Macaca fascicularis: one gene and its partners. The protein of the gene in region 6 interacts with the protein of the main gene of each other region in a biochemical or structural test. Links are inferred from orthologs where the notes say so. Each region holds a gene or a part of one and is shown on either strand. Other genes may lie near its edges.

Region 1 (4,269 bases), on a different chromosome or scaffold from region 6:
TGAGTTTCCCCTTCCCAAGGCTCTCAGAAATTCTAGTTCCACCTCCCTCCTGCACTTCCCTCTTTCGTTCTTCTTTCTTCCTGCCACTCCACAAGTGACTACAGGATTCAAGTGGACTCCCAATCCACCTGCCCAGGGCCACGTACCCCAAACTCACATGTTCTTGCATCTTCATCTCCTGGAATTTGATGAATTTGGAGCCCCGTGTCTGCAGATACAGCCGCCCTCCTGAGCGGTTGGTTTGGCACTCCTGGCTTGGGCACATGATCAGAGGCATGAAAGTTGGAGACTGGATCTAGGATGTGAGAACAGAAGCAGCAAAAGGAAGTCAGAAGCAAAAGAGCCCCATTGGGTCGGTCGGTTCCTTGAATCACATTTTCTCTTCATGGCAGACATCTTGGAAGTGTCAAGAACCCTTTGAACTTAACTCTGGGTCAACAACAAACACCCAAGAAATAGGTAGAAAGACCATTACATACCCAACAATGAAAGGCAAACACACAGGCAACTTTTACAAGCAAAGAAAATGATAGGCATCACGGGATCAAATTAATCTCTACAAAACGACTAATGGGTAAGGGCTTTCCTGCTCCTTGCTCCACACGTACCGGCTGGTAGGTCTCTGCCCCACACTGGTCACAAGTGTAAGTGGCCACCACCATCTTGGGTTTGACTTCAGAGACACGAGTGACAATTCCACGCACAGTCACCAATTTCCCCACAGAGTCAGCCCGCACTTCCCGGATCACACGAGGCTTGTTGCTACTTGGGCCTTGAAAATACAGCTCACTAAGGGGAGAAAACAGTCACAAACAAGATCCTGGAGAACCAATCCCTACATACTTCCAAACAGAGACCACTCACAATCTGCGCATGAGTTCAGCAGGGTACTGGTTCTGGGGGCTTCGGGCTGTTCCAGGGTCCCGACTCCGCTGCTCCATCATCAGCCGATGCTCAATGTAAACGTCCAGGACATCTTTATTTACCACCTAAAGGAGGACAAAATAAACAAATAAATAAATAAACGAGCAACAGGATGGGGAAAGGAGAGTGCAGAGAACACCAGACTGAAATGCCCCTTCTTTCTGCCTGCTCAGAAAACATCAGTATCTGACCAGCCTCTCTACAGAAGCTTAAATGCCTTTCCCTTTGTTTGCCATTGTTCTCTAGCCACTCACTTCCCTCTCCTTGTACTGAGGCAGCAGCTCTTGTACGGAATCGGCAAAGAGCTTTGCGTAGCGCCTGGCATTCTCACAAATTGAGTCCACCAACTCGGGGTCATCCTCGGCTACGTCGTCCAGGTCCACATACAGAGCCACTTGTTCCCGATGAGCCAGCCGAACCTCAGGTGAGAAAGAGACAGAAACACCTCAAAGCCACATTCACCTTGTGCACCAGTGTTCATATGTGAAGATACATTACTGAGAACTCAGCACAGGCTCTGGGCATCCACAGGGGGGAACACAGCACCACTTAGAGAGATACTTGCTTCTCAGCCCCCAAACCCTCTAATTATTACCTCTTTAATAAAACCAGCCAAGCTACTTCTTATGGCTCCTTATGCACCCCACTTCCCCATTCCCTTTACCCAATCTTATACTTACCAACTGGTTCCCATACTTGAACTGCTTCTTCCCAAGTTCATCATCCTGGTAGAACTCTTGTAAGAACTTCTTAACCTTTTCTGTAACGTGAAATGTAAAATCATAAAACATAAACTTTAAGACACATCACTGCCCATCCCTCTGATAGAAATCTAAGATACCTATTTTCGCTTAAAACACAGCCTATGAACTAATAATATGAACATTTAAATAAACTACCGAATTCTCCCCAAAGTGGGCATAACTCTTTTGCACAGTCTGTTTTAACCAGCGAAGAATAAAGAGCCCGGGGCAGTGCACAGGGCGATCCAACATCTATTCCCCAGGGGAATTCCTGTCCCTACTTTAGTTTAAAATCCTAGCGCCGTTCCCCATTGGCCTCCCACACTCCGGCCTCAAGGTTCTCAGCTTTCTTTCCACCCCCATGATCCCCTGCCTTCTTTGGGTCCCCCGAGCCCCTTATCTCACCGAGACCTCCGCCACCAGGCAGGTCCCGCACCCCACCACCGCTCCCGCCAGCGCTTCCGCTCTTAGTAAACAAAGAAGCACATGGGCCCGGATTCCAGCCGCTTCACAGCCCGGGATTCCTCCGCCCGAGGCGGGAGCCAGTTCAGCCATTGGCCAGCACGCCCAGGGCCACTGCGATCCCAGCCCACTGCCGCCTTTCCCGGGCCCGAGCGAAGCTCCCGGATCCCAGGCACGCCCCCCCGGGTCGCAGCTCTCTCCGAGGCCGCCACGCGGAAGGACACTGTTTACACGACACTCCCTCCACCCGCGTCGCGCCACTTCCGCCCGGCTCCACTTCCGCTCGGAGGGCGGCCTCAAACGGCCAATCCCGGCACGTAGCGGCCCCGGCTTGCCCGCCCCCGGGGCCTCCGCGCGCCTCGGGGAGGCGGCGGGAACCTGGGAATATCCAAAAGCGCGGAGGGAAGCGGGTCCGGGGTCCAGAGCCCTTAGAGTCTCCTGAGGTCCTCGGCGCGACTCTTCCCTGTGCAGCCCTCAGCCGGGTAGCGCCCCCCAAGCCCCCCAACTCTATAACACCTTTCCCAAGTGGGATTACTACCTTTTCTTCAACGTCGATGCCCCTCGCGCGCCTTCCAGGTCCCGTGGGCCTTAGCCAGGCCGCAACCCGACCCTGCCTCTGGCGTCGCGCGCCCCAGAACCCGCTGACCCCGGTCCTCGAAGACCCCAGCTCACATCAACAGGTGTTCCCCGGGAGGCTCCCCGCGCAGGACGCCCTCCCAGGCTTGTAGACCCGTACCTTTCTCTAGCGCGTAGTCCTTCAGTGCCATCGCTGCCGAGGCCTGTGCGGCAGCTCTTGGCGGGCTCAGAGGTCTTGCTTCTGGGGAAGCTGAGAACGTCCGCGCGGTGGACTGTGGCCGGCCAACCGAAATTGGCGCGAAACGTCGCCCCCCACGTGACCAGCGCCACTGCGTGCGGGCCAATCGGAAAAGCCGGCCCTTTCTCCCTCCCGCTAGCCGCAAGCCAATCGCCGGGCGGGCCTCGAATGAGTGACGGGGAGGCGGTGCGGGAGTCGGAAGGGAATCTCCGGGCGGGGTGGGGCGGGCGCCGGGTTTCCCGCGGTCCAAGCTGGCGCGGCGGAGGAGAATCGCTCTTAAAGGGCCAGCGCACGCGCGTTCTTTTGTTCCGGGGCCTCAGGGCGGGGCAGGCCCAACTTTCGCCGTCTTCTTGTCTGCTCTCCAGGACGGCCATGATTTCCCAGTTCTTCATTCTGTCCTCCAAGGGGGACCCGCTCATCTACAAAGACTGTATCCTAGACCCTCGGGGCTGGGAAGGGGCGGAGGGACCGGGCGGGAGGGGCGCCCAGGGCCAGCCCGTGTCGCAGGATCCTTCACTGAGTCCTTCCACCCGCCAGTCCGCGGGGACAGTGGCGGCCGGGATGTGGCCGAGCTCTTCTACCGGAAGCTGACGGGACTGCCAGGAGACGAGTCCCCGGTTGTCATGGTAACCACTGGCGGGAGGCGGGTGAGGAGCTGGGCCCGGGCGGGCCGGGTGGGCGCCGTCTCCCTCCCAGGACTGGTTCCATGGTAGCTTCCACTTGGGGGTTGTATTTCTCCAAGTAAAACTAACAAGAGGCCCGGCGCGGTGGCTCACGCCTGTAATCCCAGCACTTTGGGAGGCCGAGGAGGGCGGATCACCTGAGGTCAGGAGTTCGAAACCATTCTGACCAACATGCTGAAACTTCGCATCTACTAAAAATACGAAAAAAAAATTAGCTGGGCGTGGTGGCGGGCGCCTGTAATCCCATCTACTCGGGAAGCTGAGGCAGGAGAATCGCTTGAACCGAAGAGGCAGAGGTTGCAGTGAGCCGAGATCCGGACACCGCACCCAGCCTGGGTGACAGAGCGAGACTCCGTCTCGGGGTAATGGGGGTGGGGGAAAAAAAAAACGTCCATTGGGCGCCAGCAACACACCAGGCCCAGCTCCCTGCGTGACTCCATTATCAGCAACTTGGGGTAGTTACTATAATTAACCCCGTTTCCACATGGGAAGCTGGGCTCAGGGATCTGTCATGTATCTCCCAAACTAGTAAGAGGCATCGGGATCCCAGCTCAGGTCTCCTGGGTTCTGATTACTCCACCTCCCTTTTCCTAACCCCTCTTCTCCCTGCCTGTGTTTCAGTATCACGATGGCCGTCATTTCA
Region 2 (3,842 bases), on a different chromosome or scaffold from region 6:
CGGTTGTGCTGAAGAAGCCGTCCCACTCGAGCCTTCCATAGAGGCCAGCCCAGTGGTTGTGCCGGTTCCCGGTGTGGGGCAGGCACCAGGGGATGAGGGTGTTGAACTGCCTGGCTGCGGGGTCGCAGGCTTTGCCGGCTGGAAGAGAGGACAGTGATGAGGCTGCAGTTACGGGATGGGGTATAGGCTTGGGACAGGGGACAGTGGCTCTTAGAGCTTTGGGAGGCAGAGATGGCACCTCCTGTGCAAGGGGACCCCTGGGGTGGAACAGCCAACAATCCTCATTCTCTGGGGACTGTGTTTGTTATTATTACTATATATTTTTTTGAGACAGAGTCTGGCTCTGTTGCCCAGGCTGGAGTGCAATGGCATGATCTTGGCTCACTGCCACCTCTGCCTATGGAGTTCAAGCGATTCTCCTGCCTCAGCCTCCCAAATAGCTGGGATTACAGGCGTGTGATACCACGCCCAGCTAATTTGTATAATTTTAGTAAAGATGGGGTTTCACCATGTTGGCCAGGCTGATCTCGAGCTCCTGACCTCAAGTGATCTGCCTGCCTCAGCCTCCCAAAGTGCTGGGATTACAGAGGTTGAGCCACTGTGCCTGACCTGTTTTATTTATTTTATCATTTTATCTATCTATCCATTCATTCATTCATTCATTCATTTTAGAGACAAGGTCTCACTCTGTCTCCCAGGCTGGAGTGCAATGGCACAATCACAGCTCTCTACAGCCTCAACCTCCCAGGCTCAAGTGATCCTCCCGCCTTAAAGTGCTTCCCAAAGTGCTGGGATTACAGGTGTGGCCACCAACCCAGTCTGCTTTTACTACTTAACATGGTCAGCAGCTACCTTCTCTGGGACACCCAGGTTTGGTGTGTCTGTGCCCTGCCCTGGCCTCCAGGTTCACAGGTCAAAGCCCCAGGGCTCTGCCTTCCTTCCCCTCAGCCCATCGGGAACCACGACCTACAGGCCCCACCTTCCACGCAGGAGCAGACCCCACGGAGGGCCCCAGAGCTGCTGCGGCCGTTCTTCCTGTCATGGTGGGTATACCGCAGCTTCCTGGCCATGGTGCCGTCCGAGAGCCGCACCTCGATGTTCGGCAGATCGCGCCAGTCTGAGCCGGGGGCCAAGGGGATGTGCCGCATGCGGGCGGCCACCAATGCACTCATGTCCTGAAAGAGTGTGGGGGACCCAGCTGTCACCTCGTGTAAGCAGCATCCGAGCATCCATGGTGGGCTGGGTGCTGGGAACACCATGGTGACCAGGAAGCCCCCTGGGGCTCACGCCCATTGGGAAAGAGACAGTCGGGGATGTTGTACTTGGCTCAAGGCCATAGCAGAGACCTGAGGCAGCGCAGGGGCGGGACAGCGTGGGAATCTAAGCTGAGTCTTTAGGGTGGGGGAAGGGGAGTGGTGCCAGGGGATGGTGAAAGGGCTGGTCTTGGCATCCTGGGAAAATATGCAGGAAGAGGCAGCGAGGGGGAAGGCAGTGGTGGGTGGGCAGTGGCTTGACACCATTCCAGACCGAGTCTGAGTCCAGGAGTGCGGGAGCTCTGACACTTCCCATGACCATGGGAGAGAGACCAGGGGTCACGCAAGGGCTGAGGACTCAGGAAGAGGAGCCTGGGATCAGATTCCATGTCCCCCCTGAGCCTTGGGCAGGCTCTGACTGTTCCCATGAGGCTGCTAGGCTGGGCCTCCAGGGGGAGCTGCTCTGTCAGGGTGCCGTTACCTTACAGATGTGGTCCCTGAGGATGGGCTGGTACTGTGCGCCCCGGAGCTGCCTCTGGAACCAGGACTGAGGCTCCCCATTGTAGGAGATCTCCAGTGCTGAAGCTCCATTCCGCACCTCTGGCAGGTCGGACATTGTGTCTCGCACCGTGATGGTCCGGAAAGGACCTGAGCTCAACCTGCAACAGGAGGTGGACACCTCTGGGCATGCACGCAGCAGCTGTCCCCTCGTCACAGGTGCTGCCCCCTGCCTGCTCACATGGCCTTCTCCAGAGGTCACAGCACACTGCCTGAGGTCACATGAGTGGCAGTGTGCCTGGATGCCATCTGGAAGAGGGGACGGGGTTATGGCATGGACTTTGTGGATGACCACAGCCAAGCATGCGGCCAGCCGCTCTACATGCGCTATCTACTAGGGAAGCAGATGACGCGGGGTCAGAATTGGAGAAGGGGGGTGACAGAGCGCCGTGTTGCAGGCTGGATGCCGTACCATCCTCTCCTCCCTAAATCTCACCAGGGAGCACTCACGGGCCCTAGGAGCTACTGAGGCCCGCTCGGCAGTGTGTGGAGGAGTGACCGGGGCCACCTACCTGGTTATGTTGCTCACGAACTTCTTGTCGTCCACCACCACACTCAGCTGGCAGGCCCGGGGTGCAAACACGTGCAGCGGCTCCGGGAACAGGGGAAGTTTCTCTCCAGGGGCTGCGGCCAGGATGATGGCCCGCCTCCGCGTCTGGGCCACGCCGTACTGACCGGCCTGTGGGGGAGAAGGACAGACACCCCCATCAGTGGGACACTCCCAACTGGACAGGCCAGACCCAGGCCTGGGGTCAGCAGCCTGACTTGGGAGCAGCTGGCCGATGCAGAGTGCACTTGCAGAATCCCCAGTTACCCCAGCAGGCACGCTCCTGGTCAGAGGAGGTTGGAGCAGATAAAGAACAAAAGCAGCTGAGCGCAGGGGACAACCACTGGGGAAGGTGGGAGCGAACCTTGTGGGCAAGTCCAGCCAGCTCTGAAAGCACTGCAAGGGCCCCGAGGTCTTAGCACTCAGGAAGAACAACACTGGAGACCAGGAGCCCTGCCACTTCCCTAATGGCTGTGGTTACAAGGACAGAGAACGTGGCTGTGACAAGTCTTGCCTGCTGAGCCTGAGTCACCCTGAGGCTGAACTAGGGGACCGGGTAGCCAAGTGCTTGCCCACTTAGGCAGACATCCTGTGCTAGCATCTGAATAGCTGCTTCATTTTTAGTTATACCCTCAATCGCTGAGCTGATAGAGGATGGGGGGGATGCTTTTCAGATAAGGCCTGGGCCCCACAGACCATGTCCATCCCTGTCCCTGCAGACACAGCCACCTGGAGTGCAACCCTCGGCCATCTGTGGGGGTTTGTATGCGCAGTTACCCAGAGCAAAACTGTCTTTTAAACCGATCGAACAGCAGCTGCCTACACATGTCTCTGCACACCTCACTTCCCCTCATGCAGACTTAACCGCTCCGTGGTGGGCTGCTCACCCTTCTCCATCGAGGGAAAGGAACCGGGAGCTACCTGGTGAGAAGCCCCTGGTAGCCAGCCCTCCCGGGCATGTTCGAGAACACAGCTCAAGAGACGCTAGAGGTGGACTTGCTGGGGGCTGGCTGAGCATGCATCTCCCCTGACCCCACCAGTGGGACAGAGCACCATGCCAGCCTCTGCCGCCTGAATGGCAGGCCTGTGCCATTGAACCCTGCTTTCAGTAAGGGACGGTTGGCTGCTGGCCGGGTCATGTGCTGGCCACATCCATCTGCCCGCCCCGGCCCCGGGGCCCACCTGCAGCACGCCGAAGGTGCACTGATAGCCCATGCGGACCAGGCAGCGGAGGGTGAGCTTCAGGACCATGGAACGCTTGAAGGAGACAAAGTTCCTGACATTCTCCAGGAGGAAGAACCGGGGCCGGTAGTAGTCGCAGTAGCTGTAGGGGGCAGGAGAGACTGCAGGAGTCACCTCCACAGACAGAGGGGAGAAACGACCCACTGTGCCGGAAGCCCCTCGTGAATGTTATCAAAGTCTCTCCCTACTGAAAGCTGAGCTGTGAGTTTCCAGCGGGCAGAAGCCTCAGTGCAGGGTGAATG
Region 3 (3,842 bases), on a different chromosome or scaffold from region 6:
CCTGCTCTAGTATCAATAGTTGTGTCACCTAGGACACTTAACCCTCCTGCACCTCAGTTCCTTGCCCACAAAACTGGGATAACCTTTTCCTGGGGTTACCTTCATGAAGACATCGCAAGTATCAGATGAGACCATGACGGGAAACGTCATAGAGAGTGAAGAAGTGCTGCGCAGCCTAACAGTGAGGATGGGTGTATGGGGGAGAGAGCCTGATGAAACAGAATGCTGTGGGTTTTCTGTAGGGGGAAAGGTTGGTCTGAGCATCTGCTGTCTGAGCATCTGTGGTGGTGCCTGTGCCTGAACATGTGTGGGCCGAGGAAGGGGCGATCAGGTGTGCCTGCCCAGGACCTACTCTGCTGTGCTGACTCACCCTCGTCCCTGATGCCAGGTCTCTCCAAGGCCTACCTCCAACCGACCCACACCACACCAGCTGCTCCCAGCCTCTCCCCTCCTCCCACCTTAACTCTCCTCCCCCCACCTTCTTCTTCTCCGGAAGCTCCTTGTATTTCTTGGACAGAATCTTGGTTAGGTCCAGGTTGCTCATCTCAGGGTGGAGTTTCGCATACTTGGCCCGCTTCTCCATGAAGAAGCGGAAATAAGGGGTCAGGGGCTTCTTTGGGAAGTCTGGGTGTTTCTGGAAGAAGGGACAAGGAACAAGGACACAATGGAGGTCAAATACCATCCGTTCTTTGGATCTTTCCTCCCCTACCCCTCATGCTCCTCCTTCTAGTAACTCACCTTCAGTTTTTTGCCTTTGTAAGGATTTTTAACATGTTCCTGAGCATCGAGGATCAATTCTGTCAATGTACGGAACTTCCTCACCTGGAAGAAGAGGGGCGGGAGGAAGGGGAAGTTGGGAAAAGGAAAATGCCACACAGTAGCATACCCCCATCTTATAATGGGTCTCTTCTACTCTTTACTAGACTAAATTTACCAAAGAAGAGCAGAGGCCAACAGCCAAATGAAGCAGACTAAATTTACCAAAGAAGAGCAGAGGCCAACAGCCAAATGAAGCAGGCACCCTGACACCCAGGCACTGGCCCATGCCTACCACAGAGGCCCAGGCAGTCAGTACACACCAAAGGCCAGCAACAAAGGGACTACCTGACCTCAACCTGGTTGTCCATGCCAGCACCTCCTTCAATCTCAGCATGTTAGCACCTCTGTCAATCTCAGCACAGCTCAGGCTGTTCGGCTCAAGACCACCCAGATAGAAAGTGGCATAACTTTAAGCCAGTGCTGTCAACCGTGCCACCTCCCAAAATGCAAAGGGGCAGGTAGAGAGCTAACGTGCGACCACATGAACGCCTCTCCTGGTGTCTTTCCTTCCTGTTTACAGCCTGTTTCACTTCCCCTACCACGGCTGAGGAGGGGGTAATGTTTGTATATGTATGTGCGTGTGTCAGAAAGGGGGGATCAGTTACCTCGTTAGAAATCTCCACCCATTTGAGCTTGCACATGTCTCCAGAAAAGTCCTTAAATGCAACTTTTTCCCAGTCCATATGTGATTCGGTGGTTTTGAATTTGGAGCTGTCATTGGATGGAAGGTTGTTCTTCATGCATTCCAGCAAAGTCAGCATGTCTTCCTGGGACCAACGGTCTGGTGAAGGGTAACAGAGGCCATCATGCCTGGCTCATGCTATCCCCCAAATCTGTTCCCCAGTTCTTGAGTGCTCAACTCTTCCTCCCTAGGGCATCCCAGCCCCTGATTGCTTCCCATCTGAAGGCAGAGACAAGATATGGCTCAGCCCTAAGGAAACTGTGGCCATACTGGATGAGGGCAGGGACTCCAGTCCAGACCATGCTATACCTAGAAAGCCAGGCTCAAACTCAAGTCTGGCTTGCTTCAAAGCTATTATCATTTCTACTGTGCCAAGCTGCAACAGGCAGCTATTTGCTATAAGGGGAAGAGGGGTGGAAATGAAGGTACAGTGATTCAGGACTTTGTGGGAAATGAGATAGCTTGTCAGAGGAGGGAAGCAAGGAGGCATTGTATCTAAATGTGCTGCCAAGTTCAAGTTCTGAGTGGATATTCTAAATGTGCAAGGACTGAGGATGGGGTGTGGGCAGTAGGGAAAATTCATGCACATGTTTCTCCTGCACAGCTGGAGACTGATGTTAGAGATACCCACTATCCCCTGGCCCCTCAAGGCAGATCAAGGGAGAATTTCTGGCAAATAAGAAAAAAGAAACAGAAACAGAAGCAGGATACAGGGCAACTCTGAGGCAAAGTAGGCAGGTGCACAAAAGCTCTCAGGGCCCTGATCCAGGGAGAACCCCCAGAATTACAAGCTGTCTTGTCAGCCCAACTCCCCAGGGAAGCAAGACCAGGTCTGGACCAGTTATTTTCAGCCACTGAAATGCAGCCCCAGAGAGCTCTAGGCCTCTGTGGATGGGCTGGGAGAATAGTCACCCAAGGCCAGAAGTCAAAAGGGCTCTCCATTTTCATTTGCATCTCGTAACCTAGGCCAGGGATTCTGCAGAATGGGCCACAAGGACCCATAATCCCCTCTCCCCTCAATGTCCCACAAGCATGGCCAGCTGCCCAGCTCCATCCTACCCTCCACCCCCATCCAAACTGGATCACTGCTGAATGAGGCAGAGATCTAGTTGAGTACATATATCCCATGGCTTGGGGCCTCAAACCACCACAACAGCCCTCTTCTCCACCTGCCTCTACAAAAGCCTCATGGTCTTCCTAAAAAGCCTGAGAAGCCTTCCCTCTACAGTCATCATTCCTCCCATTCCAGGACACTGGGCTGGGACACACTTAAGGCTGAATGCAAACCCCAGAAGGCAGGCCTCCTCTAACATAGGGTGTGAGGGACAGGGAGAGAGGGGAGGTAAGCCACTCCAGGCCAAAAAATTTGGATTCAGCCAAACCAATCAAGTGTGGGAGATGCTTGATTCATAAGTACTCAAGGCACTTTCTCCCCCAATTCAGTGTATGCAGACTGGAAAAGCCCTTGAAGAAGGCAGTGTGCCCCACAGCCACGAGGCAAAGAGGGTTTAAGTTTCAGAGGGCTGGGAGTGGATGCCCCTACCTTGGCCTTTGGGGGCGGCCATTTCCAGGTCTGTGGGGCAGTCGGCTTCTCCGTTCATCCTCCAGCTGTCCAGCCACCTCCTCGGTCGTGCTGGCCGGGCAACCCGGGGTCAAAGCCACCTCACCCTTTGGAAGACATACAAGTTCCCACTCAGGAAGGCTGAGAGGTGAACGACTTTCTAACCCTCCCCGCCCAGAGTAAAGGTGGGCAGGTCCACGCTCTCAGAGACCCAGCCATAACCTTATCAGACTTAAGGGGTCTCTGGGAGGGAGAGTACGCCCCTCCTCTTCTTCCTGACCCCCCTCCCCCAGCCCCTGCGGCCCGGCTCCGCGGCGCGCGCCCTCCCCTGCCCACGCGAGGGCCTGCTCCCAGCTCCCGCGTGCAGCGAGCGCCCGCTCTCCGCCCCCCTTCCCCAACCCCAGCCAAAAAAAAAAAATCTCCTCCTCCTCTGAGCGCCCGCCCCGGGGAGGCCCCAGGCTGGAGGGCGGGGGAAGAGGAAGGGCGGGTAAAGGGCGCGCGCGGCCACGGAAGCGGGCACGCGCCCCAGTCTCCTCCTCCCGCCTCCCCCCAGCCGGTTCCCCCCGCCTCCGCAACCCGGCGGGGACCCGGACGCAGCGCAGCCGCCGCCAGCCCCGGAGCGCAGCGGCCGCACCGCCCCCGGGGACCGGATCCGGATTCCCGCCGCTCCCCCCTCCCGGGCTCCCTTCGCCGTCCCCGCCCGCACAGGCGGGCGAGCAGCCGGAGAGAAGCGGCCTAGCCTGCCCCCCGCCCCCGAGCCACCCACCCCGGCCAGAGGCG
Region 4 (4,473 bases), on a different chromosome or scaffold from region 6:
GCACTATCCTTTGGTAAGCAATTCCATATAGATAGCTGGGGGAAGAAGAGTATAACCTGACCATAGAAGCAGGTACATCAGGAACATTTATTTCTAAAGTCTAATAGAGAACAGTTTTTACTGCTTGATAGTAAGAAGCACTGAGAGTGATTTTAATTGACATTCTTAACTCTTTCAACTCCACCTAGATAGCTAGTATCTATAGATGATGCAGAAAAGAGGTTAGGGGAGTACTTTTCAATAGTTTATTGTATTTTCTTAAATATCCTTTCTGGAATTTTCAGAAACAAAACATAAAAAAATTATATACTTTATTACAAATGGTAAACTCAGAGTGCTCCAAATCTCTTATTTACAAACAACACTGGGCAGGACACCCAAACAAACAAACAAGAAATAACTTACAAAGGCATGAAGCTGTTTATTGACAGTAATCAGCTTTCATCAAATTAAAAAATATATATATGTACATACACAGTTAACGAAGGCAGGCCAGAAAGAGTTCATCTGTAGGCTCAGCCTCGCTCTCACAAACCTCCCTCCTGCCGCCCCTCCCCAGCCCTCCCCCCCGCTTTGTGTTCTTAATGAGTACTACAGAAGCAATCTACAGTCTCTATTGCAGTTTGTAACCCCCTCCCCCTCCCCCCTTTAATACTGAATGAGATCGAATGTTAGGTCCATGCAGTTCTTGGTCAATGTTAACGAAAAGTCCAACGTTCCGTCCGCGCGGGGACAGCCCGTCCGCAAAGCGGGGCAGCCCGCAGGCGGCCGCTCCCTGGCTCCACGCCAAGGGAGGGCGCGCCAAGTCCTTCCCACTCGTGCACACTGGGGGCGCCGTCAGGACGCAACCCAGTCCAACTTGGATACCCTTGGCTTTAGTTCTCGGACACTTCTTTTTTCTCTCCGTCGCAACTTGTCAAGTTTTCAAGTCTGTCTCTCTGTGTTATTTTTTTTCTCCGTTGCCCCTCAGCCCCCAACAGTCTCTCTTCAAAATGTTTGCAACTGCTGCGTTAGCATGAGTTGGCACCCACTGTTAACGTGGTTCATGACTTTCTGTTTAAGCTGTGCCACCTGTTCCCTGAGCATGTTGGCCGTGGACGCCAGCTCCGAGTTCTGAGCTTTCAAGGTTTTCACTTTTTCCTCCAGCCGGGCGATTCTCTCCAGCTTCCTTTTTCGGCACTTGGAGGCAGCAATGCGGTTCCTCATACGCTTCCTCTCCGCCTTGATCCGCTCCTGGGACTCCATGTCAATGGGGGACAGGGGCGGCGTCTCGCCAGGCATCTCGGGCACTGTCTGAGGCTCCTCCTTCAGGGCTTGCAGCCGCGGGTGCTGCACGGGCATCTGCTGGGGCAGGTGGTGCGGCGGCTGCGGCGGCGGCTGCTGCTGCTGGGGTTGCGCGGGAAAGGCCAGGCCGGCCGCGCCGTAGGAGGGCGCCCCGCCGCCGCTGCTCAGCGCGCCTGGGTTGAAGTTGCTGAGGTTGGCGTAGACGGGCGGCTCGCTGTGCAGGCTGGCGCTGAAGCCTCCGCTGCCGCTGCCCCCTGCCACCGAGGCTACCGCTGGAGCTACCATGCCCGCCCCGCTGACCGGCTGCGCCGCTGACGTGACGCTGGGCAGCGTGTTCTGGCTGTGCAGTTCGGCCAGGGCGCGCACGAAGCCCTCGGCGAAGCCCTCCTGCTCGTCTGTCACGTTCTTGGGGCACAGGAACTGGGTGGGGGTCGGCGTGGTGGTGATGTGCCCGTTGCTGGACTGGATTATCAGGCGCTCCAGCTCGGGCGACGCCAGCTTGAGCAGCCCCACGTCGGGCGAGGTGAGGAGGTCCGAGTTCTTGGCGCGGAGGTGCGGCTTCAGGCTCCCCACTGGGTCGGCCAGGTTCAGGGTCATGCTCTGTTTCAGGATCTTGGGGTTACTGTAGCCATAAGCTCCGCTCTCGGACGGGAGGAACGAGGCGTTGAGGGCATCATCATAGAAGGTCGTTTCCATCTTTGCAGTCATAGAACAGTCCGTCACTTCACGTGAGGTTAGTTTGGGCTGCGTGCTGAAGTTTCGGGGCCGCAACAGCGCTCTGGCAAGCGGGGGACACCCGTGCCCCCCGGGGCCTTTGGCAGGGAAAGTTTCTCTAAGAGCGCGCGCACCCGCTGGTTGTCGTCCCCGCTGCGCCCTCCTCACCAGCTCGCTCCAGGGAGCGCAGGGTTAATTAAGATGCCTCCCGCACTCTTACTTGTCGACTCGCGCGCGCGCTACCCGGCTTTGAAAAGTCGCGGTCACTCACTGAGCGCTCTTCGGGCGCCGCCGTTCCTTGGAGTCCGCGGGCGAACTCGCTTCCCAGAGCAGCGGCTCTCCCGGCGGCGCGGATCAGTGCCGACCCGCAGAGGCCGACCAGCGGCGGGTCTCGGCCGCCCAGACTCCGACGACTTGTCCCCTCCTCCGCTGCGAGGGGGAGGGGGCGCCCGGCAGCCGCGGCTCGCGCTCGCCCAAGTTCAGCAACCGGTGCGAGCGAAGCTGAGCGCACGTCCTTCTTCTTTTGCGTGGCTGTCCGCCGCCTCCTGGTCTTTACCGCCGCCGAATAGCCTAAGACGCAGGAAAGGCTTGCAAAAGTTCGCTCCGGGACTCTGGGCCAGTTGTCTCCGGCCCTCCGGGCCGAGAAAGTTCTTTGCTGCTGCAGTCGCTCGCCGACTTCCCCCGGCGGGCGCGTGGGTACCGCTGCTCGCCACCGCTGTCAACAGCGCCTGGGCAGCAGGGCTCTCCTCCTGGGGGCGGCTGGAGACCAGGCTCTCTGGGCACTCCTCGTAACACCAGCCCGGGAGCCACAGGCGCTAGCTCTGGGCAGTTGGAGAGAAGGTGGAAAAGAAAATAAGATTTGCAGTTCGGACTATACTGCCGTCCTGGCTGGCTGGTTGTGTCTGTCTGCCTGCCTGAGTCCGCGCACCTCCACTCCCGCCTCGCTGCTTCAGCCACACTCAGTGCAACTCTGAGCCCTTATCCAGCTCGAGCTCAACACTTATCTGCTACCAGTCAACCCCTAAAAATAGCCCATGATGTCACCCCAAGGCCTTCCCATTGGCTCGCGTCGCTCTCAGGGGGGCGGGCCCGCCCGTCACCATGGAGACTCCACCCTAGAAGATTCTTCTCTGGGCCCGCGGAGGCTCACGGGATGAGGTAATGCTCCGCTGCCCTCCTACAGTCGGGCCCTTCTTTCTCCTACCCTCCCCCCTGCCGCACGCCTCTCGGCCCTCTCTTCCCCGGTCCCCTCCCCGGGCCGTTTTTCCCGGCCCGCCCGGTGCATTGTGGGCTGACGTCTTGGGGTTTGACTGTCTAGTGACGGTGGCTGCCGCGAGCGGGCGGACGCTCGCAACATCTGACGGAGGGGGCTCAAGTTCACGGCTGCGGACTGGGATGCAGGGGATGCGGGGACCCGGGAGGCCAGGGAACCCGGCCAGTTGTTTTGGGTCAAGGGTGCGGGCGAGGGGTGGTTGTGTTTCCCCACTTGTGGGGCTCGAAGTCATCCACCGGCGTCCGCCACCGCGCGGGGCGGGAGGCTGAGAGTCCAGGTCCGCCGCCCCCCCGCACTTCCGGGGGGCGGGAGCGCCGCCCTTAAGGTGGCTCTGTGAAGTCCCAGTTGGGGGCGAGCCTAAGGGGGCTTAAGTTTGGGGGCGGTCTCCCGAGAGTCGGCCCCCCACGTTGAGAAACGCTGCGAAGTTTGCATCTCGGTCAAGTTCAGGAGCGATGGTCCGCGGGGTTGTCTGGCTGCTCTTAGAAGCTGAGAGATTTGTATTGCCCAAAACTGGACGCTCAGCTGAGTCTCCGTTGCACCCCACTTCATCCTCCGGGACCGTGGGGGAAAGGGCGCGGGGGATCACAGCTTTGCCTCCGAGGGGCAGTTTTTATAGTGGGCGCAATTAGTGGGTAACAGGGTCCAGATGGGAACAAGCGTGTAGGCGATCCGAAACTCGGGGAACCCCGGTGTTAGTCTACTCCCCTTCCCGCCCCCGGACAACACACACACGCTTAACACAACACGCACAACATGCGCGCGCGCGCACACACACACACACACACGCACACACTCTCCACCCGCGCCGAGTTGCTTCCGGGAAAACAAGCTCAGAAGGCGGGGGACACTCGCATAAAGTAACGCAGTAGAACTCAGGAGCCCGGGGTAGAACCTGGACTTCAAATCTCCACCTTCCCGGCCGGGTGGTGGGCCCATATCCTGAGTAGCCTCTAGGAAGCGCTAGACACATGTAAGTGGTTCCTTTTCCGCGGTTGTTATTTTATCTTCCCCCCGCCCCCCACCCCTTAGGGACGAAAGTGTGTGGTGGAAAGAATCCCGAAGTCGGGAATGCTTGTTCTTTCGTGGCCAGGCTGCAACAGTGTGAAGCGAGCAAATCACGGAACTCCTCTGAGCTTCATTACCCTCATCTGCAGGTGGGGCCGGTGCCGTCCACATCACCGGGCTGCCGGGAGTTAGTGTGA
Region 5 (4,016 bases), on a different chromosome or scaffold from region 6:
AAGCTGGAAGGGGCAAAAGGATCAGGGGGCGAGGAAGAGGAGCCTGTCCCAGGGAATCAGGGCTAGCAGCCCCAAGTTTGTGCCTGGGCTCAGCCACCTTGAGCGGGCAGGTGAGGTGGGCTCAGTATCCACGTCTGGGCAAAGAGGGCAAGTGATGAGCCTCCCATCCCCAGGAAAGGGAATCAAAGTGTGGGAACCCCGCCCCCACCTCCCTCCACCTGGCCTGGCCTCTCCCCTCCTGCTGGCCAGGGATACACAAACAGATTCGCCCACGCACCCAGGATCCCCTCTTTAAAATGCACATGTATACACAAACTGTGTTTTAAACAACCCACCCAACTACACTTACTAAAAGCATCTGCCCTGACTCGGGCTCAGCAGGACCAAGACCTGAACCCCTCCTCCTACAGTCACAGGCCTGCCTATCTAGTCCCCAAACACAGGGCAGGGGTCACAGACCTCCCAGCCCTTCCAAACCCAAGCCTGACACTCGGGACCAGTCAGAGGTCCCGGAATCTCTTCTCAAGCAGGGTTCCCAGCCACCGGTCCCGGCGCCCAGGAGCTCTGAGTTAGCCCGAAAGCCTGACCCATTACTCTTCTCCCCTTTCCCCCAGGGCTGGAACCCCATCTCCAAGCAGACCCTGTGGGTGGGGGGAGGGTGTAGCAGAGGAGGCAGAAAAACCAGCTGCAACACCCCCACCAACCACCAAAACCTCCAAAAATAACAGCAGCCCCCCACACACAACCCACTACACACCAGAAACGCAAAAACAAAATCCTACAAATCCAAAATAAAGCAAAAAAAAAACAAAAGCCAATTACTGCCCCCAAAAGGCTTTGTAACCATTCTCAAAAAAAAGTTTATTAAAAGTGTTCTTACTTAATGCTTGAAACGGAAGATTCCCAAAATATACAGACGCCTCTTTTCTCATAGAAATAGATTATTTTTTATAATACAAAAAAAAAGACCAAAAAACAAAACAAAACAAAACATCAACAGCAACAAGCCCGTAGGAACATCTTTAAGCGATTACTCAGGGCCCGGCTGACAGTTACACGTGGGTTGCGTCAGTCCCGTGTACACACGCGTTCAGCCATGTTTAAACCGATTGCATCAACTTCGAAACCGGCCCGCCCGCCGGCGCCTGGAGAGGGGCAGAGGGAGAGGCAGAGAGTTTATCATTCATCTGTACACATAGACGTTTCTTCTTTAAATAACACCACGGGCGGGCGCCCCATCTGCATGTGCGGTTGGTTTGGACAAAAATATAGATATATATATATAATAAAATATTAAAATTACCGACGGGCTCCCCGCGCTGCCAAGTGCCCCAGTGCCAAAGTTTTGCCGGCGCCGCCGGGGGCGGAGGCGGGGGCGCGGGCGCGGGCGCTTCCCGGAGTCTCGGCCCCGGCCGGCAGGGGGACGCGCGCGGGGGCCGCGCTAGCAGTGGCCGGAGGAGGCGAGCAGGGGCTCGGGCAGCTGCTTGAACAAGTTCCGCAGGGTGCTGAGCTCGCGCGACAGCTGCTCCACCTTCTTCTGCAGCCGCTCGTTCTCGGCCGTGAGCTCCAGGACCTTGTGCTGCGTCTCCAGGTTGCGCATCTTGGCCTTGTCGCGGCTCTTGCGCACGGCGATGTTGTTGCGCTCGCGCCGGATCTTGTACTCGTCGCTGTGCTTGTCCACTGTCTTCTTGGCCTTGCTCTTGACCTGCGAGGGCGGCGGCGCGGCCCCCGCGTAGCAGGCGGCCGGGGGCGCCTTGGCGTCGGCGGGGCTCGGCGTGCCGGGCGGGCTGGACGACGAGGACGTGGAGAGGCTCCCGCTGCTGCCGCTCGGCACCGCCTGGTAGCCGAGGTAAGCGCGCAGCGCGTACGGGAAGCCCGCCGCCATGCCTGCGCCGCCGCCCGGCGCCCCGGCCTCCTCCTTCCGCTTGCAGTCCGCGGGCTCGAAGCCCGGCTCCGCCTTGAGCTCGGCGGGCGGCGGCGGCGGCGGGGGTGGCGGGTGCAGGGGCGCGAAGCAGCCGGGGTGCAGCGCGCCCTTGGCGGCCCCCAGGCGCCCCAGGCTCACGTAGCCGTACTCGGCCGGCTTCTTGCAGTTCTTGCCCCCGTAGTCGTCGGAGAAGAGGTCGGAGAGGAAGTCGTGGTGCTGCCCGGAGGAGGCGGGCGCGGGGGCGGGCGCGGGCGGAGCCGCCTCGAAGGTGTCCGTGGCCGTGGCGGGCGCCGGGGCCTGCGGCGCGCCCAGCGGCTCCAGGTACGGGCTGAAGTCGATGGCGCGCTCGTGGTCGCCGATGCTGCCCAGCTCGCCGGCTGGGGGGCGCGGCCCGGGTCTGGCCGCGGGGGGCGCCGCGGGGGCCGCCTTGCCGCCGTACGCAGCAGCCAAGCAGTCCGCCTCGTAGTAGAAGTTGGCCACTTCCATGGATTTAAAGGCAGGCGGCGGCGGCAGGGGGAGACATGCTGGGTCCCAGGCCACCAGGCGTTGCATGAACGCGGGTGCCCGGGGAGGGGGCCTGGGGCTGCCCGCTCCGGCCGGCCCGCAGGTGGCGCGGCCTCCCTGCTCTGAGCTGTCGCCGCTGCGTCGCTGCTGCTGCCGCCGCTGCCGGGGTGGCCGCTATTAGTGCGGGGGCTGGTGGCTGAACCCTCGGGTGGGTCCCCTTCCCAGTCCCGTGCGCGGCTCTGACTCGCTAAAGTTTCTCCTGAGCCCGGTTATTTATAAGGGCGGCCCGTAGCAACCGCTGCGTCACACCGGCCCCTCCCGCCGCGCCGCCGGGACGCGAAGGACACGGCCGCGGCCGCCCGAGACCCCCAGGAGGACGGCGGCAGGGCGCAGCGGAGGACCGGGCACCCGGAGCGCGTTTTCGGGGGGGGTCCCCGGGCCGCAGGGGGCGACCTCACGCCCCCTGCCCACCCCCGCCCGGCCGCCCCGGGATTGGGAGCGAGAGGGGGCGGTGCGACCCCGCCCCCAGACCGCCCCTCTGGGCTGGAGGCTGTCCTGGAAGGCGGGGGAATCGGAGGAGGGGGCGACCTGATCGCCTTCCCCCGGAGATGCGGCCCCGGCCCGCCCCCTGCTGGAGGAGGCGGAGGTTTCAGGAGGACCGAGCAGAGCCCCGACGGCGGACCAGGGGCCGCTCCCCGGGCGGAACCCTGGAGACCCCAGCCCGCAACTCTAGCTCCAGGAGAAGCGACCCATCTCCGTAGCCCTTCCCCCTAAACTCCCACCTCTTCCCCAGGTCCCCGGCTCTAGAAAGGAGTAGACTCCACGCCTGTGACGATTCCCCTCTTAAGCCACCGCCAATATGAGGACCCCGGGGGTCGGGGGGACGGAGCAGGATCGCGCTGCGCTGGGGGCTGGACCCTGGTCCACGGTGTCCCGCCCCTAGCCCCGCCCACCGCACCTGCCGCCTGCTTGCGGCTTGTACACACCCGGGTCTTCTCTTGCCCCGCGCCGCGCCATCCGACCTGGGCCCTGGGATGGTGCAGGGGCGGAGGGGTGCTGGGCCCTGCCACACTGTGTGACCTTGGATGAGTCACTTCTCCCAGCTGCAGTCCATGAAGGGTGTCGCTACTGTCAGCGGTGGTGGCATTGCTCCCACCAGACTCCCAAACCTAAGGCTTACGTTGTGGGCTGCACATCAGAGAGAAAGGGACCCCCATGGATTGTGCCAGTGGAGGCCCAGAGGGAGCATGGCATGGCATACCAAGGTCACATGGCCGCATGTCCCCCATTCATCCCAAACGAAATGCCCTCATCTGGGCCCTAAGACCTATTGCCAGCCCCAGAGGCCAAAAAGCTTCTGTTTCTGAAGCTGCTGGGGAGGGGCTTAAGCCAGGCCTCACGGGAGGGGGGTGGCATGCAGGAAACAGAGAAGGAAAGAGAAAGAGAAGTTTTTACCAAGTCCCTGCCCTGTGCTCAGGGTGGGCCTGGACCCCGAGGTTCTTTTTCACCCCACCAGGAAGATGCTTTTGCTGCTGCCGTTTCACAGATGGGAAAGTGACAACGGCCTGCCTGGACTTGAACACAGACC
Region 6 (3,842 bases):
TATAGTCTTTTCCAAACTTTGGACTTGTCACTTCTTCTCCAAAAATTTTCAAAAATAAAGGAATATTGTTTAGAAGCCCTAAATAATTGAGCTAGACAGACTTGCATACAAGCAATTTTTAAACAGTAAATTTTTATTACTTCCTACACAATTTTCCAAGCCTTTATGTTTTTTGTAGCCTCACAATATCTCTCTCAATTCAAGGCATATGGCATATGTTCAATAAATATGTGTTGATAGAAATAAAATTAACTCTCTAAAAGAAATAACAATAGTCACTTTCAGATGATATGGTAATATCTCAATATCAATTTCTGGGAGGAGAGGACACATAGCCTTTAAAAAGTACTCTATGTGCTTATTTTATTTACTTATCTATTTATTTATTTTTACTTTCACTTAATTCCCCAGATTCAGAAAGTTTTCTCCTAAGTACTCCTTATCAAGTGTAAGTTCATTCCATAAGTAGTTACCAAATTCAATAATAGGAGTATAACATTCTTCTATCAATTTCCCATGCTTCTCTCCTCTATTCACTGTCTATATGGCAACACAAGAAAACACTAAGAAATAAACTATTGCTTAGTCATTAAAAATTCAAAACATAAAGAAATTAAAACTAAGGTTACATGTGCAAATTAGGATTATAGCATACCTAAAGTCTTAATTTTTAATTACCATTTCTATATACTGATACAAATTAAAAGATATATACTTAGCATGCAACACAGTTTCAAAAGAAACCATTAATCTACAAATCTGATGATTCACAAAGTATTATCCAACTATGCAGATTTGAAGAGCATAAACTCAAGTTGCCAATTTTATTAAAACAAAAGCCTTATCAATAGTTATAATGCTATAAAGAGAATCCTAGACAATATAATTTGTGCCCCTATAATGATTGAACCAATACACCAATACCTATAATTGAACAATAGTATAGATTTTTATACTCTAATAATGGGAAAAATGAATCCTATTATATTCAACAAGAAAAAAATGCACTTTTTAATAATCTAAATAACATAATCTCACAATTTAAGAGCAGACATTTACATTTTCAAACATAATGACGACTGTATTTTAAATAAATTATCTAAATACTTTAAAGAATTATGTTCTGTTTTAGAACAGAGCCCTCAGAAAGAATACCACACATCTACAACCATCTGATCTTTGACAAACCTGACAGAAACAAGAAATGGGGAAAGGATTCCCTATTTAATAAATGGTGCTGGGAAAACTGGCTAGCCATATGTAGAAAGCTGAAACTGGATCCCTTCCTTACACCTTACACGAAAATTAATTCAAGATGGATTAAAGACTTAAATGTTAGACCTAAAACCATAAAAACCCTAGAACAAAACCTAGGCAATACCATTCAGGACATAGGCATGGGCAAGGACTTCATAACTAAAACACCAAAAGCAATGGCAACAAAAGCCAAAATTGACAAATGGGATTTAATTAAACTAAAGAGCTTCTGCACAGCAAAAGAAACCACCATCAGAGTGAACAGGCAACCTACAGAATGGGAGAAAATTTTTACAATCTACCCATCTGACAAAGGGCTAATAACTAGAATCTACAAAGAACTTAAACAAATCTACAAGAAAAAAATCAAACAATCCCATCCAAAAGTGGGTGAAGGATATGAACAGACACTTCTCAAAAGAAGACATTTATGCAGCCAACAGACACATGAAAAAAAAATGCTCACCATCACTAGCCATGAGAGAAATGCAAATCAAAACCAGTGAGATACCATCTCACACCAGTTAGAATGGTGATCATTAAAAAGTCAGGAAACAACAGGTGCTGGAGAGGATGTGGAGAAATAGGAACACTTTTACACTGTTGGTGGGACTGTAAACTAGTTCAACCATTGTGGAAGACAGTGTGGCGATTCCTCAAACATCTATAACTAGAAATACCATTTGGCCCAGTCATCTCATCATTGGGTATATACCCAAAGGATTATAAATCGTGCTGCTATAAACATACATGCACATGTATGTTTATTGCCACACTATTCACAATAGCAAAGACTTGGAATCAACCCAAATGTCCATCAATGATAGACTGGATTAAGAAAATGTGGCACATATATACCATGGAATTCTATGCAGCCATAAAAAAGGATGAGTTCATGCCCTTTGTAGGGACATGGATGAAGCTGGAAACCATTATTCTGAGCAAACTATCGCAAGGACAGAAAACCAAACACTGCATGTTCTCACTCATAGGTGGGAATTGAACAATAAGAACACTTGGACACAGGAAGGGGAACATCATACACTGGGGCCTGTGGTGGGGTGGGGGGAGGGGGGAGGGATAGCATTAAGAGATATACCTAACGTAAATGACGAGCTAATGGGTGCAGCACACCAACATGGCACAGGTATACATATGTAACAAACCTGCACCCTAGAACTTAGAACTTACCCTAGAACTTAAAATATAATAATAATAAAAAAAAAGAATTCTGTTTTGTTTTAAAGTGCCATGTTTTAAGAAAAGCTATTCTTAAATAAATCACTATGCTGTATTAGATGGTTTAGGGCGCTCGAATAAAGCTCCATTCTAATATTCTACTTGATTCTTGGGCTACAGACTGAAATAACATTATTCATTATTGCCTATTTGTTCTTGAGGTAGATGTTAAGAAACACCTCTCACTAACAGATAATTTGTTAGCCATATGCACATGAATGAATTTCTTCAATTATGTAGCTAGTTACTTACTGAGAGCCATGCAAGGGATTCCATGATTCGATGTTCACATCGTTCTAAGTGTTTTATCATTTCTCTTGTCAAGTTGCCTTCTGCTTTGATAAAACTTTCAATCACTTTGTAAAAATCAAAGGCTTTCAAATTAAGCACATTCAGAATCCATGGGAAAGACAAATCTGTTCCAGAATCAAGATTCTGAGATGTACTTCCTAAAAATGAAAAAAAAAAGTAACTTAGATATGAAATATTAACCCTTGAGCTAGGTATTTTTTTGGAAAGTCTTATCAAACAAAGAAAACAGTAGAAAGGTTAAACGATTTTTATTTAGAGCAGAATTTTTTATTTTGGAGTCTACGGACTCATAGGAAATAGCCTTCCAATTTTGAGTGTATGCACATCTATATTTTTCCTAGAGAAAGGGCTTATAGCTTATCTCAAATTTTCAAAGGTTTAAATACCCTAAACTTATATCAGAAACAGGTTTAGTATCTTACCAGCCATTTATTAGCATATCTATTTTAATTCTCATTAATCCTTGGTAAGAGGAGAGACAGATTCTTCAAGATCCTGCTAATTTCATTAGTCAGAAAATGGTATCTCTTTAAAATATGCATTTCTTGGTTATAAATGAGGATTCACAGTTTTCCTTATTTGTTTACTAATAAGGAAACTAGAAGTTCCTCTTTCACTGTGTTTTGCATCCTTTACAAATGTTCCTTTTGTTTCTGCAAGCAAAACTTTCTTTTAACATTTGCAACATAATTTGCAAAGTGATATACATTTATATTTTTAAAAACACTGTAACTGGCCTTTGTTCTGTTTATCCAGTGGGTTCCAGCTTCAGTCTTTAGTTTCATAACCATGGAGGTTATAGCAGTGCTTCCATATCAGTAGAGGCTACTCTTGAATACTCCTTTGGCACTCTACAATCTCACAGGTCTTCGGAGGGATTTCAAAATGTACCTTTTCTAAATTCAGTATACCAGTATACTCAGAAGAGGAGCCTAGTGAAATATTATCCCCAAGATGGCCTCAAATAATTCAAATAAGCCTCTTAAATGGCTTATAATGACCAATTACATTGTTCAGTATATAGTGATCTAAAA
Region 7 (4,343 bases), on a different chromosome or scaffold from region 6:
ACACCTGGGTTCACTCACTGTATATGGAGGGGATGATTCTCAGCCTTGAATGAACTTCAGAATCACCTGGGGAGCTTTTGAAAAAAATACCAGTACCTGGCCCTGGGTATCTGGGGCAGAAACATTAAATCAGAATCTCTGGGAGGCGAGCTCAGACATGGGTTTAAAAAATACTCATATCAACCTGTGTACCCTTCCATAAGAGCCACGGAAGTGTGTGGTGAGGTAGTCAAGGTCAGAGGAACTTCCCCACGTATTGGACAAATTTGCACCCCTCCTTCCTTCCCCAGGCAGCAGGCTTCCTCCTTGCAATCCGCCTGCTGCCTACAGGGGTCGCTGAGGCACAGCTGGCCCAGTTTGCGGATTTTCCTCCGGATCCCACTCCCATGCCCAGGGAAAGCTGGAGCCACCGCAGTATAAATTAGCGCCTTTATTTTGAACACCTGAGCGAGCGCCCGCGGCTCGCCCGCCTGCGGTATAAACGTACAAATTCCCTGTAGCACCACACACCATGCCTCAGAGATAAATACAGCCCCAGGGGCTCCTGCTCTGGCAAAGCAACTCTTATTTACAGTAATAGATTACAAAAGTATTATAAAAAGTGGTCCTGAACCGGGGAACGGGTTGGGAGTGGGTTACGGTTACACCTGCTACATTTGGGACAGGAGTGCACCTGGGCCTCACGCCCCCCAAATTACCGGTGCATCCCGGTGCAGGGCTTAGGTCTGGGAGGGTTTCACCCCCATGGGGGAGGGCGCGAGAAAGCTGAACTTGGCCCCTCAAGGTTCAGCTCTGGCCCACCGAGGAACACGGAGCGGCCATCACAATGGATCTCCGGGAAGGGTGCTGCGTGGAAAAAACCGCGCTGAGTCCTTGCCCTGGGTGGCAGAAGGCGGAAACTTCAGTTCTCCCGCCTCTCCCACCTCAAGAGGGGTCGCTTTTAAAGCGCTGTTGGGAGGGGGCATTTAAGTTCAATCTTTTGGGTGCGAGGGACCCTAGGGGCACCATCCCTCGGGCGGGTGGGCGGCCACCCGCCCCTCAGAGCACCTGGTAGATCGGGTTGGGGTTCGCACCCGCAGGGCACTGCGGGGCGGTGTCCGGGGACTGGGTGGGGTCGCCGCTCTCTTCCTCGCTGGGGGCGGCAGCCTCTTGCCCGCTCGGAGGCGACTCCGGAGACACGTCGGCCAGCAGGAGCGCGGGCGCCGCAGGGCTCTCGGTGGAGATGCGCTCCACGATGCTGGACAGGCAGTCTAGGCTCGACACCGCCGCACTCTTCCCGGGCCTGGGTTCTGCGCGGTGAGGGCTCGGTTAGTAAGCAGGGGTGCGGCCGCGACAAGCCTCCCACCCCTGGGTCCAGTACTTTGAGACAGATTGGAAACTGAGGACTTGTCAGAGTCCGGGACAATCGAAAGGAGAAGGAGCTACTTGCTTAGTATTTCATCGCCTGCACCACCTCCCGGGACATAGGCGTATGTGAGTTGGGGTGGGGGCGTCCTAGATAGAGAGAGGCCAGGACAGCTCCATGAAGGCCATGGGGAGGAGGAGCGAGCAGGGCGAAGCCCGGAATACCTACCGCTGGGCGCCTCGCTGTAGTAGGCGCCTTCGTAGCAGTTCCGCCGCCGGGCGCCGCTCGGGGGGCCGCTGTAGTCCATCTGCAAACAGCAAGGGCGACTGAGTCAGGCCCGCGGGACGGCGCGGGGCCCGAACACCAATCCCTGTAGCCGCCCCCTCCCTAACTCTAGCCCCAGCCTCGAGTTCCGGGCCCAGACCTGTCCTGGTTGGGGGTGATTACGGGTGGGTAGGAGATGAGGTCTGCAACATGCAGGGCCAAACCAAGGGCGGACAGTCACCAAGGGGCGCAAATTTACATTTTGGAAGTAGGAAAAAATACAGAAAAAGAGCTTCATGTCCGCGCTGCAGTGTTCTAATCGCGCCCCCAACGGGGTGGCTCGAACGCATGCCCGCACGCTTCCAAAACAATTAGGCTACCCCAGTGACAGCTGCCCATTACACGGGGGTCCTCTCGCTTGGAAAGGATCCTGTACTAAACCTCCCGCAAGGCCAGCTCCCCGCCCTTGGAAGCACATCCCAGATATTCGGAGCGCCGCCCTAACTTCCTCACTTCCTGGGGTCCCGGCCTTACCATGCCGTCGGAGCAGTTGGAGCGCGGGCTGGACGCGTCGGAGTCGCCACTGTAGTGCTCGCCGCCGCGGCCTGGGGGCAGCGGGCCGGGCGCATAGAAGGCGGCGGCGGCGCCAGGGGGCGCGGCGTCCTGGTCGCGCAGCAAAGCCTGCAGGCCCTCGATATAGCGGATGGCGTTGCGCAGGATCTCCACCTTGGGCAACCGCTGGTTCGGGTTGCTAGACGTGCAGCGCTTCAGCGTCTCAAAGGCCTCATTTACTTTGCTCAGGCGGCGCCGCTCGCGCATGGTGGCGGCCTTGCGGCGGTCGGCGTTGGTGGTCTTGCGCTTGCACGCCTTGCAGGCCCACAGTAGGCAGCGGCCCGCCTGGTGGTGCCCGCTGGGCGCGCGCACATGTTCGTCCTCACGCGCGCCCTGGGCCGGGTGCACCGCCGCGGGGAAGTGCGAGTGCTCTTCGGGTTTCAGGAGCGCGCCCACGTGCATCAGGCGCGGGTCCAGGTCTTCGAAGAAGCGCAGGTCCGGGGAGTCGAAACACGGGTCGTCATAGAAGTCGTCCGTTGTGGCAAAGGAGCAGAGAGAGCCGTCGGGGCCCGTCAGGTCTACGTCGCGGAGCGGTGGCGACAGTAGCTCCATATCCTGGCGGTGGCGCGGCACCGTCCTGGCTTCGCCCAACCCAAGCGGCAGAGAGTGGCCGGAATTTTCTGCCGCTCGGGAGCCCTGGCTGTTGATAGTAAAGTGCTGGAAGTGTGAATGACCACCCACTGTCCCCCACCCCTCCCTGTCCTGTCCCGCCCGATTTGTGGTTAAGGAAAACGGCGGCAGCGCCCTAGGGCTTCCTCACCCCTAGCTTCGCGCCAGGCGCCCTGGGCTATTTATCCGTGGTAGCCTAAACGCCCCGGAGCCCAGGCGGGCAGCTAGGGGCGGGGGAGCCCGAGGCCAATAGGAACACAGCGGGGCGGGGCTTGGGGAGTCCCCTGGGTGGCCGCAGGGGCCCGCAGAGTGGCCAGCCAGCCCGCCCCTCCACACTGGCGCGCGCTCTCGGTTCCCTACCGGGCAGGGAGGGAGGGAGCGACTGGTAGCCTTAGGCGGCTGCACTTGGCTCTCCGGCAAGCCCTTTCCAAACCTCTCCAACACCCGACTGCTGTGTCCGCGGGAAACGCTGGCTGTGCGCGCTCACCTCTGAGCTGACTTTTAATACTCCTCTGCCCCTGATTTTTGGGGAACCCATGGGTAGAGCAGCTGTAGAAATCAGGTCGTGAGTTATTTGGAGAGAGGCAAGGGATTGGGGGCATAGAGCTGAGAGAGTGAGACCGTGAAAGAGGGACCGAAAGAGGTTGAGAGACACGCAGAAAGCAGAAAGCTTAGAGTGTCAGGTGCAAAGAAACGCACGAGTGCAACAACAGGCAGAGAAACCCCGATAGTTGAAGTGGGAGAGCTCGAGACAAACGGGTCGTAGAGGCTGTGATATTCCACCAGTCCCCGACCTGGGAGTTGCTCAGGAGGTCGTGGGCCCAGTCCTTCTTCCCTAGACGCTTAGAAACCCCGCCATGGTTGTACAGGAATCAGAGATTGCTGCTAAAGCTTCGCGCCAATCTCTCCAAACTCGGATCCTGCCCAGGTGAGGAATCCCGTCCATCTAAATCTGCACGTTTCCACAGCAGGGTTGTCCAGTGCCATGCCTGGGGTCTAGGCTGAGCTGCCTCTTCAGCTGGGAAGAAAACCCTTCTCCTCCGTTCTTGGCTCTGCCTCACCCGCGGTGCTGAGTCAAGGAAAGTGCATTTGGCCAAGGTCGCAAACTTCAGGACCTGGCCTGAGAATCTCACCTCATCTCACCTGAAGTCTCTGAGAGTGTGATTTGCAGACCAGTTGAATCCAGACTTCAGAGTGTCCCCACTGTGTGATTTTGTGGAAGTCCTGTCTCCTTCCTTAGCCTCAGTTTCCAGTTATAGATTTGGGAATGACAGTAATTTCTTGGAGTAATTGTGGTGGGGATGAGAGTCTGAAGAGACCAAGGATGTGGAAGCCCTCAGGCAGTGATGTAGAGTTATTCGAGCAAGGGGCTTTCAGAGTTGGATGCTACCTCCCCAAGGCTTACAACTCGTCCATGGCACCATGCCCTGACAGAGTCCCACGTAGTCTCCAGGCCTCAGCTGTGTCTCTTTCCTGCAGCCTCACTGGAAAGGCTGGAAACAGGAGGAGGCAA

What was found.
Region 1: the proteins of RB1 (region 6) and MCM7 form a complex in vitro, tested with the Homo sapiens proteins (2 studies listed by BioGRID). The link is inferred for Macaca fascicularis from reciprocal best matches to the Homo sapiens genes RB1 and MCM7.
Region 2: the proteins of RB1 (region 6) and DNMT1 form a complex in vitro, tested with the Homo sapiens proteins (2 studies listed by BioGRID). The link is inferred for Macaca fascicularis from reciprocal best matches to the Homo sapiens genes RB1 and DNMT1.
Region 3: the proteins of RB1 (region 6) and UBTF form a complex in vitro, tested with the Homo sapiens proteins (2 studies listed by BioGRID). The link is inferred for Macaca fascicularis from reciprocal best matches to the Homo sapiens genes RB1 and UBTF.
Region 4: the proteins of RB1 (region 6) and JUN form a complex in vitro, tested with the Homo sapiens proteins (2 studies listed by BioGRID). The link is inferred for Macaca fascicularis from reciprocal best matches to the Homo sapiens genes RB1 and JUN.
Region 5: the proteins of RB1 (region 6) and CEBPB form a complex in vitro, tested with the Homo sapiens proteins (2 studies listed by BioGRID, with this or other methods). The link is inferred for Macaca fascicularis from reciprocal best matches to the Homo sapiens genes RB1 and CEBPB.
Region 7: the proteins of RB1 (region 6) and MYOD1 form a complex in vitro, tested with the Homo sapiens proteins (2 studies listed by BioGRID). The link is inferred for Macaca fascicularis from reciprocal best matches to the Homo sapiens genes RB1 and MYOD1.

What each region holds. Positions count from the first base shown.
Region 1 is NC_088377.1:48,752,390-48,756,658, forward strand, and holds the start of MCM7 (DNA replication licensing factor MCM7), read right to left. Parts: upstream 2,994-4,269; 5' UTR 2,897-2,993; coding exon 2,866-2,896; intron 2,366-2,865; exon of another isoform or gene 2,073-2,365; intron 1,685-2,072; coding exon 1,605-1,684; intron 1,344-1,604; coding exon 1,179-1,343; intron 1,124-1,178; coding exon of another isoform or gene 1,116-1,123; intron 990-1,115; coding exon 865-989; intron 790-864; coding exon 609-789; intron 296-608; coding exon 158-295; intron 1-157. Other genes in the region: AP4M1 (AP-4 complex subunit mu-1), read left to right, coding at 3,316-3,373, 3,481-3,590, 4,248-4,269. UniProt on the Homo sapiens protein: Acts as a component of the MCM2-7 complex (MCM complex) which is the replicative helicase essential for 'once per cell cycle' DNA replication initiation and elongation in eukaryotic cells.
Region 2 is NC_088393.1:10,683,710-10,687,551, forward strand, and holds part of DNMT1 (DNA (cytosine-5)-methyltransferase 1), read right to left. Parts: intron 3,683-3,842; coding exon 3,541-3,682; intron 2,491-3,540; coding exon 2,324-2,490; intron 1,913-2,323; coding exon 1,735-1,912; intron 1,176-1,734; coding exon 971-1,175; intron 139-970; coding exon 1-138. UniProt on the Homo sapiens protein: Methylates CpG residues. Preferentially methylates hemimethylated DNA. Associates with DNA replication sites in S phase maintaining the methylation pattern in the newly synthesized strand, that is essential for epigenetic inheritance.
Region 3 is NC_088390.1:65,273,061-65,276,902, forward strand, and holds part of UBTF (nucleolar transcription factor 1), read right to left. Parts: exon of another isoform or gene 3,829-3,842; intron 3,170-3,828; 5' UTR 3,103-3,169; coding exon 3,045-3,102; intron 1,601-3,044; coding exon 1,425-1,600; intron 823-1,424; coding exon 739-822; intron 635-738; coding exon 479-634; intron 1-478. UniProt on the Homo sapiens protein: Recognizes the ribosomal RNA gene promoter and activates transcription mediated by RNA polymerase I (Pol I) through cooperative interactions with the transcription factor SL1/TIF-IB complex.
Region 4 is NC_088375.1:175,917,921-175,922,393, reverse strand, and holds JUN (transcription factor Jun), read right to left. Parts: upstream 2,971-4,473; 5' UTR 1,993-2,970; coding exon 988-1,992; 3' UTR 232-987; downstream 1-231. UniProt on the Homo sapiens protein: Transcription factor that recognizes and binds to the AP-1 consensus motif 5'-TGA[GC]TCA-3'.
Region 5 is NC_088384.1:106,283,201-106,287,216, reverse strand, and holds CEBPB (CCAAT/enhancer-binding protein beta), read right to left. Parts: upstream 2,678-4,016; 5' UTR 2,477-2,677; coding exon 1,442-2,476; 3' UTR 837-1,441; downstream 1-836. UniProt on the Homo sapiens protein: Important transcription factor regulating the expression of genes involved in immune and inflammatory responses. Also plays a significant role in adipogenesis, as well as in the gluconeogenic pathway, liver regeneration, and hematopoiesis.
Region 6 is NC_088391.1:27,516,904-27,520,745, reverse strand, and holds part of RB1 (retinoblastoma-associated protein), read right to left. Parts: intron 2,946-3,842; coding exon 2,749-2,945; intron 1-2,748. UniProt on the Homo sapiens protein: Tumor suppressor that is a key regulator of the G1/S transition of the cell cycle. The hypophosphorylated form binds transcription regulators of the E2F family, preventing transcription of E2F-responsive genes.
Region 7 is NC_088388.1:48,060,247-48,064,589, forward strand, and holds MYOD1 (myoblast determination protein 1), read right to left. Parts: upstream 2,986-4,343; 5' UTR 2,774-2,985; coding exon 2,144-2,773; intron 1,653-2,143; coding exon 1,574-1,652; intron 1,290-1,573; coding exon 1,039-1,289; 3' UTR 416-1,038; downstream 1-415. UniProt on the Homo sapiens protein: Acts as a transcriptional activator that promotes transcription of muscle-specific target genes and plays a role in muscle differentiation. Together with MYF5 and MYOG, co-occupies muscle-specific gene promoter core region during myogenesis.